Arabidopsis thaliana: one gene and its partners. The protein of the gene in region 1 interacts with the protein of each later gene in a pairwise test. Each region holds a gene or a part of one and is shown on either strand. Other genes may lie near its edges.

The links.
Region 2: the proteins of SK18 (region 1) and AT3G24760 interact in a two-hybrid assay, tested with the Arabidopsis thaliana proteins (one large-scale study listed by BioGRID).
Region 3: the proteins of SK18 (region 1) and AT3G57580 interact in a two-hybrid assay, tested with the Arabidopsis thaliana proteins (one large-scale study listed by BioGRID).

What each region holds. Positions count from the first base shown.
Region 1 is NC_003070.9:3,354,168-3,357,671, reverse strand, and holds SK18 (E3 ubiquitin ligase SCF complex subunit SKP1/ASK1 family protein), read right to left. Parts: upstream 1,998-3,504; coding exon 1,521-1,997; downstream 1-1,520. Other genes in the region: FRS11 (FAR1-related sequence 11), read left to right, coding at 1-21, 217-837; AT1G10225 (transmembrane protein), read right to left, coding at 2,982-3,308. UniProt on the Arabidopsis thaliana protein: Involved in ubiquitination and subsequent proteasomal degradation of target proteins. Together with CUL1, RBX1 and a F-box protein, it forms a SCF E3 ubiquitin ligase complex. The functional specificity of this complex depends on the type of F-box protein.
Region 2 is NC_003074.8:9,037,808-9,042,994, reverse strand, and holds AT3G24760 (Galactose oxidase/kelch repeat superfamily protein), read right to left. Parts: upstream 2,982-5,187; 5' UTR 2,888-2,981; coding exon 1,736-2,887; 3' UTR 1,726-1,735; exon of another isoform or gene 1,715-1,725; intron 1,423-1,714; 3' UTR 902-1,422; downstream 1-901.
Region 3 is NC_003074.8:21,319,590-21,324,548, forward strand, and holds AT3G57580 (F-box and associated interaction domains-containing protein), read right to left. Parts: upstream 2,791-4,959; 5' UTR 2,438-2,790; coding exon 1,211-2,437; 3' UTR 902-1,210; downstream 1-901. Other genes in the region: AT3G57570 (ARM repeat superfamily protein), read left to right, coding at 1-98, 334-516.

The sequences.
Region 1 (3,504 bases):
CTAGCTCACTTTGTAGAACAAGTATGTTCTCTTCTCCTTCTGACAGTGTTTATTCATTGCTAGTGAAATGAGTTATTTCAAGCTCTTAGGCCTTCTATGCAGTAATTGTTCAAGCATTTATTTTATAGGGTTTATGCATTTTAATCTCATGAAATGGTACTGTACGTGTGTTGAGTTTGCTATTTTTGCTTATTTGAGTTATGGGTGAATATGCAGGTGGCTGTTGTTGTGGATTTTAAAGACCAAGCTACAGAACAGCAAACAATGCAGCAGAATCTCCAAAACATCAGCCTAAAAACTGGCGCCCCCATGGAATCTCACGCAGCCTCGGTGCTCACTCCTTTTGCATTCTCCAAGCTCCAAGAACAGCTTGTGCTTGCTGCTCACTACGCATCGTTCCAGATGGATGAGGGGTATCTCGTGAGGCACCACACAAAACTCGATGGAGGAAGAAAAGTGTATTGGGTTCCTCAAGAAGGCATCATAAGCTGCAGTTGCCAACTGTTTGAGTTCTCTGGGTTTCTCTGCAGGCACGCACTCCGTGTTCTCTCCACAGGAAACTGTTTTCAGGTCCCTGATAGGTATCTTCCACTTAGGTGGCGCAGGATCAGCACGTCGTTTAGCAAGACGTTCAGAAGTAACGCTGAGGATCATGGAGAGAGAGTTCAGCTTCTGCAGAATCTGGTTTCGACTCTGGTCTCAGAATCGGCTAAATCGAAGGAGAGGCTAGATATTGCAACTGAGCAAACCTCCATCCTCTTATCCCGTATCAGAGAGCAGCCTGTCTCCTCACTTGCTATCAGAGACATTTCTTCTTCTGTGCAGAGGAATTTTTGATACCACAAATGCTATGCGTGTCTAACTATTTTTAGATAACATAATTACTTTATTAACCTAATCTTACAAGATTGTAACTCTTATCTTAACTTATGCATTGTTAAAAATATCAATCTTATATTCGTTGACAAAAAAAAGAAAGATAAGTCAACCTTAAATTCGTCGTGTTCGACGAAATAGTACCATGATGTCCAAAATTCCCATTAATAAGATTATGCATTCAAATGAGCCCGTGATTCTCACAAAGCCCAAATCCTTACCAATACGTCAACGACAACAAAGATGGTCGCACAGAGTGGGTCCTCTCGATGAGCGCTGTCATACACGCGTCGATCATTCATTTGCCACTAATTAGAATTTTGAAAATTTTCTGGAGAGAACTAAAATAGATAACCGGCCAGATAATAGAATTGATTTACGACCGGTTCTACTAGTATCTTCGTTTTCAATTGAAGAACAATAGAAGAACACACTGATTATTTTTTTTAGGCTTTTGAACAAGATCGAGAATCGAATTAGAACGCTAATAGAGCAAGAACAACATTGGTCAATCTACAAAGAATATTACTTGAGACCAAGTCGATAACGAAAAGATGAACCCATTCACGAAATCTAAGAGGGGGGAGAAGAGAAACCCTAAATTGTGCAATTCGAAACGAAATTCTGCAAACCCTAAAGTTGGATTACTCATTAAAAGTCCAAGCATTCTCCTTGCGAATCTCTTCCTCTTCTTCAGGCGTGAAATCGTTCTCGATGTTGAAAATCTCTCGTACTTCCTCTGGTGTTTTGTCCTTGATGTAATCAGCAACCGTCTGGCTAGCGAAACCGAGAAGTCCTTCGAAGTTTAGGTAGTTGGCAGCGAGAATGATTTTGAAGATGGTCTCCAGATCTAGCTTTTCCATGAACTTAGCGTCCCACGAGTCTAGATTCTTCTTCGCCTCCTCGTCTTCGTCTTCTTCACTAGGTTCATTGACGTGCATCTTCGCGTACTCGATTATCTTGGAGAGGATATCCCCGGTGACATTTTCAAGCGGAATTGCTTCACCGGCGCAGTTATCCTCCATCATGTGCACTATGATCAGAAACTTACGCGCCACCGCTTCGTCGATCTCGAAAGACTCGCCATCGGAACTCGTCAACAAAATCTTGTTAGAAGACATGGTTAGACTCGCAACCGCTTCCTCGATCTCTGATGATTCGCCGGCGGACACAATCTCTTCGGAAGAAGAAGCCATTGTTATAAGGCAAATGAGTAATCCAGAATAAACCCTTACAAGTAGGGGAGAAAAGGAAATATAATGGATCAGAATTATGGGCCTAAAGATTTCATAAAGCCCAAACAACCTATACGGCTGTACTCAACAAGTCCCACTCATCTGATTCTAGAACATTCTGAAGAGAAAACCAAAATGGGATCATATTGATTTGGAACCGGTTTGTAGAAAACCGATCAAACTAAAAAATATCTTCGTTTGCAGAGAAACGTAACTAAACATAAAAACTTGTCTTTTGCCAACATTCATATAGTATAATGTACCGTCTTGTTCTATGGTCGTGAAACACATCAAACCAATATCAAATACTTTGTTTTGTTGCCGATTTGGAAAGTTTATTGTATATCTTCTAATCTTCTAAGCTTAACATTATTTTATTTTTTGGTACAAACCAGTCCAAAACATTTATTAATACACTCAATTAACAAGGAAATGATTCGGAATAATGGGCCAAACTATTACAAAGCCCATACACACCTTTAGGGATTTGACTCGAATAAGTCCAAATTTCTGTTTATGGAGGGATTCTAGAACATTCGGAAGAGAAAAAATTGAAATTTTGCTGAACCAGTTCTAGGTTGATTGGTTTTGATAATCGATCAGGAATCCGATTGTAGAAAACCGATCCTAGTACCTAAAACTAGAGTAAAATATCAAGATGCTTCGCTAGTAAAAGACACAAAAAAAATGCCGTCTTGGATGATGATCAACCAAAAGGTTTTTCACATTAGGGTTTTAACATAAATCCATAGATTCGTTACAGAAATGAAAAAACTGGAATGACTCAACTAGAAGAAACATATCATCAATCTCAGATTTTATTTCATTTTTATTTAGAGAAAAAGAACCCTAACTCACTTGGGGGTTGACTCAGTCGTTGAAGATGGCAGTGAAGAGAATGGCAACGGATGCAAGTCCACAGAGAACAGAGAGGAAGTCGAAAGCGAAAGATGAAGGACGATTAGCTCGAGCAAAGCCGTGTGCGACCTGCAACACAACGTAGCCCACGGAGGCGAAGGCGAAAGCATTGGAAAGAGGCTTGCTTGGAGCTTTCTCGAACTTACTCATCTGGCCGTGGAGGAAGAAGGAAAGCATGCCTATCACCGCAGTCCTGGGGATTTGCTCGAAGAATCTCTTGAATGCCTCTTGGTTTCTTTTGCATTGCTCCTCCTCTTCGCTCATGTTCATTCTCTCCATCAACTGGGGAAAACAAACAATAAGTTAATCAAAAAAAACAAAACAAAAAGGAAGATATGTGATTTGAGAGAGAAGAAGAGACAAGATAACGGCGGTGAGGGAAGTCTGCAATGAACCTGAACGAATGAGAAAGCGAGTGATGTAAACAAAAACAAAATCTGCCACGTAATTGAAACCAGCTGGTTCATTTTTTTTT
Region 2 (5,187 bases), on another chromosome or scaffold:
GGATCCAACCCGGAAAGTGTTACACGGCAATCAAATTTTTTGCTCTTGGTTACAATAACAAATCTTCCTGTTATACAATCTTGAGAATGTATCCATTAAACGATGAATTCCAATCTGGATATAAGTACGAAGTCTATGATTTTACCTCTAATTCGTGGAGGGTTGTTGGTGTGAAACCGGCTGGTTCATACCACTGATTCAGACCAGAAGTGGCATGTCTATGAAGGGAAATACTTACTGGTTTGATGAAGAACATGGGCGTTCTTTTTTACTATGTTTTGATTACACAAGTGAGACATTCCAATGTTTGTCTCTTTCGGAGGATGCTAATACTCATTATCATTATTTGGTTTTATCAGTGACTAGAGAAGAGCAACAACTTTGTATGTTAACTAGATATACATGTATGGATAGCAACTAAGATTCAGAGTACCGGAGCCTTGTCATGGGCAAAGTTCCTAACAGTAACGAGAAGCGGTATCTACTATCGTCGTTGTTTTGGGATGATCAGTTTCTTGATCGACCAGGAGAACAGAGTAGTGTATTGTAACTCTTTCTTTTCCAACACCATACACATCGTGGGAGAGGATAAATATATAGAAGTGAATCATGATGTTGCTCCATACGAATCTCATAACCTATTTCTCCTCAGTTATGTTCCAAGTTTCATTAAAATCCAACAAGGTATCTAGTTCTTTAGTTGGAGTAGGCTTCAGGAATGCACCAAACCAATGTTCTAAATATCGGTTCTTTTTCGGTTCTTTTTCCTATGAACCCAGTGGAATAATGTTGGCTGGTTTTTGTTTAACAAGAATATATATTCTTGATCATAAAAATTCTTCTGATTTTTGGTAACAATGATGAATTCTGATTATAAAATCTCTATAAACGACACACCTTTTGGTGTGAGAAAAAACATGAATGAGAGTAAGTTTTATTAGGTCCCTAAACTCATCTCTTCTACCTCTTGCATTAACCCTAATCTCTATGAAAGCCTAAATCGGCTTTAAAAACAATGAAGAAACCAAACAATGTATATCCTCTGGAAGTTAACTCTGGCACGATTGCGATCAACATCCAAAGGCTTTGGTCAAAGATGGGAGTCTTGTTAAGAAGCACGATTGCTGATCAACATTTTCATTATATGTTCACCAAAAAATAACAACAATACTTAATAGAATTCATTAGAACGTATAAATGTTAGCTTGCTTTGGTATAAGAGATTGTGAAAACACACTCATTTATAAACAAACAACAATACTTAATGATTCTGTAGATATGTGTATGTATGTAAATGATTCATACAACGAAGAATTATAAACCAGTTTACGTCTAATTACATGATTACCATAATAAATTGATAACCATTTTTATACACTTCATTATTAAATCTTCTCCCTTCATCTCCACTTTACATTAGCACTGCCAAGTCACAAAATGCAAAGACATAAGTACACAGAAACCGTATCAAGAACACTAAGCTATAGCTACGTTCTTGTTTGAATGTAAAACCTATCAATATTCAATCTTTGCCTATTTTGGCACAAGAGATTGTGTACCCATGGATAAGTAATGGATTCTCATGAAACTAACGCAGAATGTTGATTGTCGTTTTACCATAACCAAAACAACAAAGCCAATGCAAGAAGACAATCTCATCTAATACTAGTGAAAGCGCAATTATAATGAAAGATAAGGGTGTGGATGATCATACCAGGAACATACCTAAGCAAACTCAACCACGGATCGAACCGCCAATCCGAGCTTCCTCGGGGTGGAAAACATCGGTAATAGACACCGTTGAGCAGAAACTAACAACTTTATGAAACTTATTAACCGGAGAAGGCAAACAAGGAACTCTTCTCCAACTACATATCCCATTCTCACCACCACCAATCTCACAAACACAAGCTGGAAATTTCTTATGACAATCATCATTAAACACATAAACAAGATTCCCAGAGCCAGCACATTTCAAACTCCTAAACTTGTCATCCTCATCATCACTATCAACTAATCCAAACAACAAATCCTCAGGCATAACCGCGATTTCGCTAAATTCCATCGAGCCTTCTTCAATACTCCAAAGATTAAACGAGAACCCACACATTCCACCAAGAACAAGCATACCATTACAAGAATTCAAGTAAGCAAACGAGAGTCCTGGTGGTTTAAGAGTTTGAACATCACTCCATGTATATGAATCCAAGCAAAACGACGAGATAAAACACGAATAGTTATCGAAAACATAGAATCTTCTCTTAAACAAAGCTGAGGTCAAAGTTTGATGATCCTGACCAGATCTGAAATCAGCAGGGAGTGGTGAACAAAGCTCCCATGAATCGAGAACAGGATCGTAGATTTGAACAGCTAATCGTTCTTCGATATCGACTAATCCGCCGATACGCGAAGATCCACCGACGAGGATTAGTTTGGATGAGTTAGATAGAGTTGTGAAAACGGTTAAGAGAGGATTGATTCGAGGAAATCGAACAGGGGAAGTGAATCGCCAATTAGGTTTAAGGATTGGTGAGAAGGAGAAGCGAGGAGCGGTGGTGAAGAGGAAGCGATTAGATCCGACGAGATGATCGGAGGAAGAGGAGGAAGGAGGGAGACGGAGCCAGGTGTTGGAGAGAGGATCGAAAGCGAAGGATTGGTTGTGGAAAGAGGAAGTGTTGTGGATACCGAAGAGGAAGAGCCATGGTGGTGATGATGGAGAAGGAGAAGGAGAAGGAGGAAGAGAGGTGATGAGTGAACGCCATTGTTTGGAGACGAGAGTGAAACGGACTAAGGAAGGGATTGGGAGATGATAGAGGATTGATTCTGTGACGTCGATGTTTAGATTGTTGAAGGTTGATGATTCGATTTCTGGATTGTTGTCTGACATTTTTTTGTTGTTGATCTTTTGCTTTGAAGATTGTTGAAGAAGAAGAAGAAGGAAGACAGAGAGAGCGTGAAAAGTGCAATGATGGAGAATGTGTGACCGGGAATTTGCGATATTTTTGGAAATGTTTTTTTTTTAACTTTATTAGTATTATGATCTATAATTACAAAGTTGTTACAAAAATGTTTTCTGCAAAAATAAAAATAGAAAAATCATTATATTTTTATAATTTTATCCTTCATTTCTTAATTTCTTAAAATAAAAGTAATGCGCAATATAATCTCTTACGGTCAAGTTTGTAAAATTTATCAAATCGAACTCTTTGCAATGTATACTTTTAATCAGGCTATTTTTAGAATTTTAAAAATCTAATATATGTTACCGTTAAATTTTTAAGTGATAGAGTTAAAAATGGTTATATTACGTATTACTATTCTTTTTGACTTCCTAAAATTGATATGCATTTTCTGAAGATGTGATGTAAGGTAAAGTTGAAAGAAATTAATGACTAAAATATTTTTTTGTTTGCAGAAAAAACTATACAAAACTTTTGGGGAGAAATTTATTCAGATATATAACATTTTAAGTTTTTTCTATGATTGTTTTGATATTTTGAAAATTTTGCAAAAAATAAGTAAATCTGTATTCATTTTTTTGTTAATCTTTATTTTTTTTGTGAATTTTTTTTGTTAATATTTATTTTGAATTGTTTATTTGAGTTTGAGTTTTATTGAAGAATTGAATAGTTATTTTCATGATGATTAAAATCTAATAAATTTTGACAATGTAGTAGTCCCAAAAACATTTTTTTAATATCGCTTACTTGAATCATTGTATTTTCTATATTTAGGAAATACTTTCAATTTTTTTAAAGTTATATGTATCTCTATTTTTAGGAAAAAAAATAGAGAGGGTTGAATCAAAAGTTCCAATGGGTCCACTGGCGTTGGTTGAAGATCTCTCCACGAGGTGGTTGAAGGAGAAGCCAAGATATTAATGTCTGGAGGGTTTCATTGTAGCATCTCATAACCTTACATAATAATCCATACATATGAATACTCTAGCACAAACTAACTACACGACTAAACATAGCTACTCAATGATCATTTTATAACAGTAGATTTTAAAGTATCTTTTCGTGCTATTCAGTTGTATTTTTGAGTACTGAATTAATGAAGAATGTGTAATTTGTTTTAGAAATCTTCTCTAGTGATATTAAACGTAATGTACATGCTATGGACTAACAGATTAGATGAACCACCGCAATGTCAATTTAATTGTGGGCGGGAACGATGGAGAAGGGGGTGAGGGTTTACATAATAAATCGAGCTGACAGATTTGTGTTGAAATATCTGACTAATTTAGTTAGAGATTCACAATGTAATGAATGTCTCTCTATCTTTGAATGGTAAGTACCAGTAACGTGTATGCGAAATCATTTAAATGCATGAGATGTTACAATTTTTCTCTTTGTCTTCTAAACACACAAGGTGAGGTGTTTTGGGCTTTTTGAATGGACTTATACATAGCTCATGATGAAGTCCACTACAAAATCTAGATCTGCATTCCATTTCAAGTCTATCATGCAATACGATTACGCTCCATAATTTTTTTTCCCGTCGGGTTTTGAAAATTGTGAGTTTTTTCTGGTCACTCTCACATAAACCAGTGGGAAAATACTCTAGAAGAGTTTAGAATTTTTAGGAATGGCAAAACCGGTTAATTTCCAAAACCGGTTAAACATTGTTTAGATACTAACATAACGTGATCTACCAAAACCATTCACGTTGTGTGGTAAAGACTAACCGTTCGTCCGTTCCATTCAACTAAATTTAGAGTTCTCTTTAGAATCATCGAACCGGATAATTTCCTTCGTTTACCGTTAAACGATTTATTTTCGTAAAGAATTCTAACTCCCAATCTTTTAGAAATTTAAGCAAATTTTTAATTCTACGCAGGAAGTTCTAAGCATCAAATTTTAAACCTAGTCTCGATACTCGGTTAATCCTCATTTTCAAAATCCGAACTATTCTGGTTCTGCCGAAACCAATCCTACACATACCATGAAGAGAAGATAGGTGTGGTGGTCTGATATATATGTCCCAAACCATACGACCCAATAACACGACTTTAACCGTTTTATGATTAAAGTCAAACAAAATTTACTATTCTATTTTGGACTGAAAGAATGAAAAATAATTCTAAACATCCCCAACCAATCTGAAAAATAAAAGACCATCAATAACAATAATTAAAATCCTAGATGGTTTAGTTTTCGATATTTGCCATGTTGTTTAGCTTAC
Region 3 (4,959 bases), on another chromosome or scaffold:
TATTCTCGGCCACATATCATCTGAAGTCCACACTTCTTCCGGTTTCATCTGATCTGCTGAAGCTTTCCCTGAGATTTCTTGAACAAGGATCCGAAAAGGTACCAGAAATCTATTAAACTTATTTCTAACATGTATACAATGGTATGGAAGTAGACAAAGAGCTTCACATTAAGACATGAAACTTCCTTTCTCAAGTGACTACTGTCGACATTTCTGAATCCCACAATCCATATCCGAAACTGTCTGCATCTATCCACATCTGAACTCGAATATTTATGACTGCCTTGAATTTAAGGTTATGCGGAAGTCAAACATTATTCTCTTGTTGCGTAGGAAAAGCTGGCTGGCGCAAAACTAATGGCATCACTGATGGCGAGTGAAGACGTGATACTGGAAAACATTTCAGAGGGATTGCTCGAAGCAAGATCAGTTCTGTCCAAAGCATCTTTGTCAGACCCTTCTCGAGACGTACGTGAAGTCTGCGCTAAGCTATTGGCATGCATAACGCCGTTGTAAAGCCATTTGTTCTTCTTCTTCTTCTTCTTTTTTGCCACTTTTGGTTTGTTCTCGCGTGCCAATGAAGTCGGTATGTAGATATGTTGTAGCAAACGATGGCCTAACTATAATCTTATGTAATATGCAAAGACCAAATACGTTTTAGTAACCAGTTATGGTGAACCTGCAGCTACCATTTTGTGTTTTCTGAAACTAAGTCTTGACTTTTTTTAATTTGGGAAAGATCAGATTAGAAACTCAAATCAACACCAGTCCACTCTCTAGGTTAGCAAAATACTCATACCTGTTCTGCTGCGCTTGTTCTTCACAGATGGATCCGAGTTGCAGAGACCTCAACCTGATGATGGTAACAAGGCAAAAAATGTGCTAGAGAGAGACAGCATCAAACTCTACAATTATGTATGTTTTATTGATTTAGAACTGAAGAGATGGAATTATATATGAAAACTAGATTAACCAAAGATAGTCAAGAGGTACGTACGATTTTACGAGTGCTAGATTTGACTCGCACAGACTTTTACCAACGCCTATAATACTACTATTAACTAAAGAACATAAACGCATAGATGACATGCCCTATGGCTTTTTTCTTATTCCTTGCCTCATCGTTTTACTCTCTTATAATCTTCTCTTCTTCTTATGTCTTCATCTTCACTGATGTATCTTTCATTTCTTCTCCCTACTCACACCATCATCATACCACTTCCCCGATGTTTTCAGGCTGCACTAACTTTTGACAGCAGGGGCAGAGACTCTTGACATGAGAAATGCTTGACTTGAGTTGCTTCGCATCGTTTAGACTAAGATCCTCTACATAGTCAACATAGGCAAAAACTTCACCACGATTCTCAACCTCTTCAAGCTTAGCTCCAAAGCCTTGGATTTCAACAGTTTGCAGAGTTTTCTTTTCGGGATTGAAGTAGAACACATAGTACGGTTTACATGTATACTTCATACACAAGACAATATCCCCAGTAGCAGTCACTCCAGCAACTGAAAATTCGCAGGAAGCAAGGACTTCATTCTCAGGCAGAGTGTAGACATACTTCACCCATTCCAGTTTCTCAACATCCTCTAGAACCCACAGACACAACTCAACGGTACGTCTTCCACCAGCGTCAACACAGTTGCAATCAGTCACACCTAATTTACCCATATAGTTGACCAAACTCAATCTAGTAGGATCCTTTAGACGATCATTAAAGCGGGCAGCGTCAATAAACTTGAACTCCTCAGAACTAACATCAAAGCGAACTATCAAAAACGTCAATCCAAAAACTGTTTCAACTAAGACAGTTTTAGCTAAGTAATACAAAACCCCATTAATGCATATCCCTTGATTCGAAGAACAACGCTCATACAGAGGACAAGGGATATTCTTTTCCCTCCACTTGAGTTCTCCAGATCCTAATGTTAGAATGAAATGAGTATCAAAAGCCTTGAATCGCTTATCAACGGGATCAAACACTAAAAAGCCTCGAGACCTTCTGTCCTTCATGATCACAGGTAAGCCCGTATACATTCCGGTGATAGGGTTACAAATCACAATCGTCTCAGTATCAACGATATGCACAGCAGGAAAATAGAGCAAACCTGAGGCATAGCTACAAATGTAGTGGCTAACATCTCCTGAGAACTTGCTATGAAACTCTAAATGAGCTGATTTCTCATACCGATTCTGTGACTGAGGCGATGAGAAAAATTGCCACTCATTACATTTGTATCGTTCAACAGCAAACAAGAGACGTGGACGATTCGAGGATCTGCTCAGGAACAGCTTGGTGAAATCAGTACTGCGAAGTATAGACGCCCACTGCTTGGACAGTGTACGAAACCTAGCCACTGACTTCGAAGGCAATCTCGCGAAGATCTCGCGAATGAGATCAGTTGGGAGTGATACATTCATTTTTCCTCTATCCATCGGATTCGCCTGAGTTCGTGATTGTTCCGCCGGAGAAAGAAAGGGTTTGGGGCTACGACGACGACAGGTTGGAATTTGTGACTGTTTATTTTGTTCTTTCTAAATTCGTCCGGTAAACGAAAGAAATAGACATACTTTATAGATTGTGTATGTGAGTCTGTTGGAAAAAAACGCAGAGTTCTCTTTCATAGCAGCTCATTCAGAAAGATAAGTTTCGCCGATCTCTTGCCGTCCCAATCAGAAAGATAAGATTCGCCGATCTCTTGCCGTCCCAATCCACTTGGGGTTAAAAACTTCTCCCTCTACACTAGTTCTGTCTGGGATAGAGTGGATCCACAGTCCGAAGATTTCTCCGTGTTCTGTCGGCTTTGTTGCTAGTCAAGGTTGTTTCGTGGTTTCATCCGTTTTTCTTCTTTGTAGAAGTTTGTTTTCAGAGTAGTTCAGTTCTATCAAGCTGTGGTGTAGTCTGTCAGTTCAGTTGGTTTTCTCGAAGTGGTTCTTCTTAGAAAAGGTCAGGGTCTTGCTCATTTGTGTATCATGAATCTGGATTTGGATAAAGCCATACAAGAATTGTCCATCATGGAGGATGTTCCTCTGATTCTGCCTAATCAAGAAAAATTTTGCTCAATAGAAAGGAATAACTGCAGTCTTTTAGGAAGATTTCTGAACCCTTCTCATCAAAGGATGTCTAATTGGATATTGGACATGCCCAGAATCTGGAGACTTTACTCAAGGGTTCGAGGTGTTGCGCTTTCACAAGAAAGATTTCAGTTTCTTTTTAAATCGGAAGATGATTTACTTGAAATTTTAAAAACTGGAGTTTGGACTCAAGATGAATGGTGTGTGATAATGGATCGATGGGTGGAGAAACCAAAAGAGGATTATCTGATGTTTCTTCCTGTTTGGATTCGATTGCGGAATATTCCTGTCAACTATTACACATCTGATACGATTAAGGAGATTGCGTCTTGTGTTGGTAAGGTTTTAAAAGTGGAATTAGACTTAGAAAAGTCTCAAGCTCAGGATTATGTCAGAGTTCAGGTACTGTTTGATGTTCGAAATCCTTTACGAAATTGTAAAGAGGTTCTGATTCCAACTGGTGAGGTTGTCTCAGTTACTTTTGATTATGAAAGAATCAGGAAGAGGTGTTTTCTTTGCCAACGTCTGACTCATGAGAAAGGTGATTGTCCGTTTTCTCAGCAAAGAAATAAATCAAATTTTGAAAAAATTATCAGAGATGCAGGTTTAAAGACAGGAGAATTAGTTTCAGAAACTAGACCCAAGATTCTATCTCTTCCGTCTCCCTCTATGGTTCCTGTTGGAAGTAATGAAAATAGGGATTTGTTTAACTGGCAGAGAGAGAAGGATGCTCAGGATTCTTCTCCTTATCCAGCCTCTCCTGCTCCTTTGAATGAGTTATCTAAGGAATTACAGAGAGGTCTTTTTCCATTCAAAGCTAAACTAAGGAAGAGTCATGAATCTGAAGCTTTGTCTGGATTTTTGGAAATGGATTTATCTTCTGATCCTAAAACTACTTTAGAGGAAGCAAGTTCGTCAGGGTTAAGTATTAGGCAGAAAAATCCAAGAAAAAGGAAAGTTTACACTTTGAGAAAGAAGTCACTTGGTAGAGAAGACTTAAATCTTCCGGATGCAAATTTCATCGTTCAAGGTGACACAGATGCTAAAAGAAGAAATCAAGCTGTTGGTTCTGGGATTTCTCAAGATAATAAGGGTGTGGACTCTACGGTGGTTCCTTGTGAACTGCCGCAGTATCAATAGGGCGTCCTTAGTTGGAATTGCCAAGGACTGAGGAATCCTTGGACAATTCGATACTTAAAGGAAATGAAAAAAGATCATTTTCCTGATATTTTGTTCCTCATGGAGACCATGAATTGTGATCCTTTTGTTATGAAAATCTTTACTTGGCTTGGATATGATTATTTTCACACAATAGAACCAGAAGGCAAAAGTGGAGGTCTCGCTCTTTTTTGGAAAAATAACCTAGAAATTGAGTTTTTGTATGAAGACAAGAATCTTTTGGATTTGAAAGTGATTCAAGGTTCTCAAAGTTGGTTTGTTTCTTGTGTGTATGGGAATCCAATGGCAAGTCTCAGATATTTGCTTTTGGACAAGTTATGCTCTATTGGTGAATTCAGGAAATCAACTTGGTGTATGATAGGTGATTTTAATGATATCACATCTAATCAAGATAAGTTAGGAGGCCCTTCTAGACTGTCTTCTTCTTTTCAACCATTCAAAGATATGCTTAGCTGGTGTGACATGCATGAATTAGGAAGTTCAGGGAATAGTTACACTTGGGGAGGAACTCGTAATGATCAATGGATTCACTGCAAATTAGATAGATGCTTTGGAAATTCGGCTTGGTTTTCTATGTTTCCAAAATCACATCAATGGTTTCTTGAAAAAATGGGTTCAGATCATAGGCCTGTTCTTGTAAAGTTTGTGAATGATCAGGAAGTCTTTCGTGGTCAATTTCATTTTGATAAAAGATTTGCAGATGA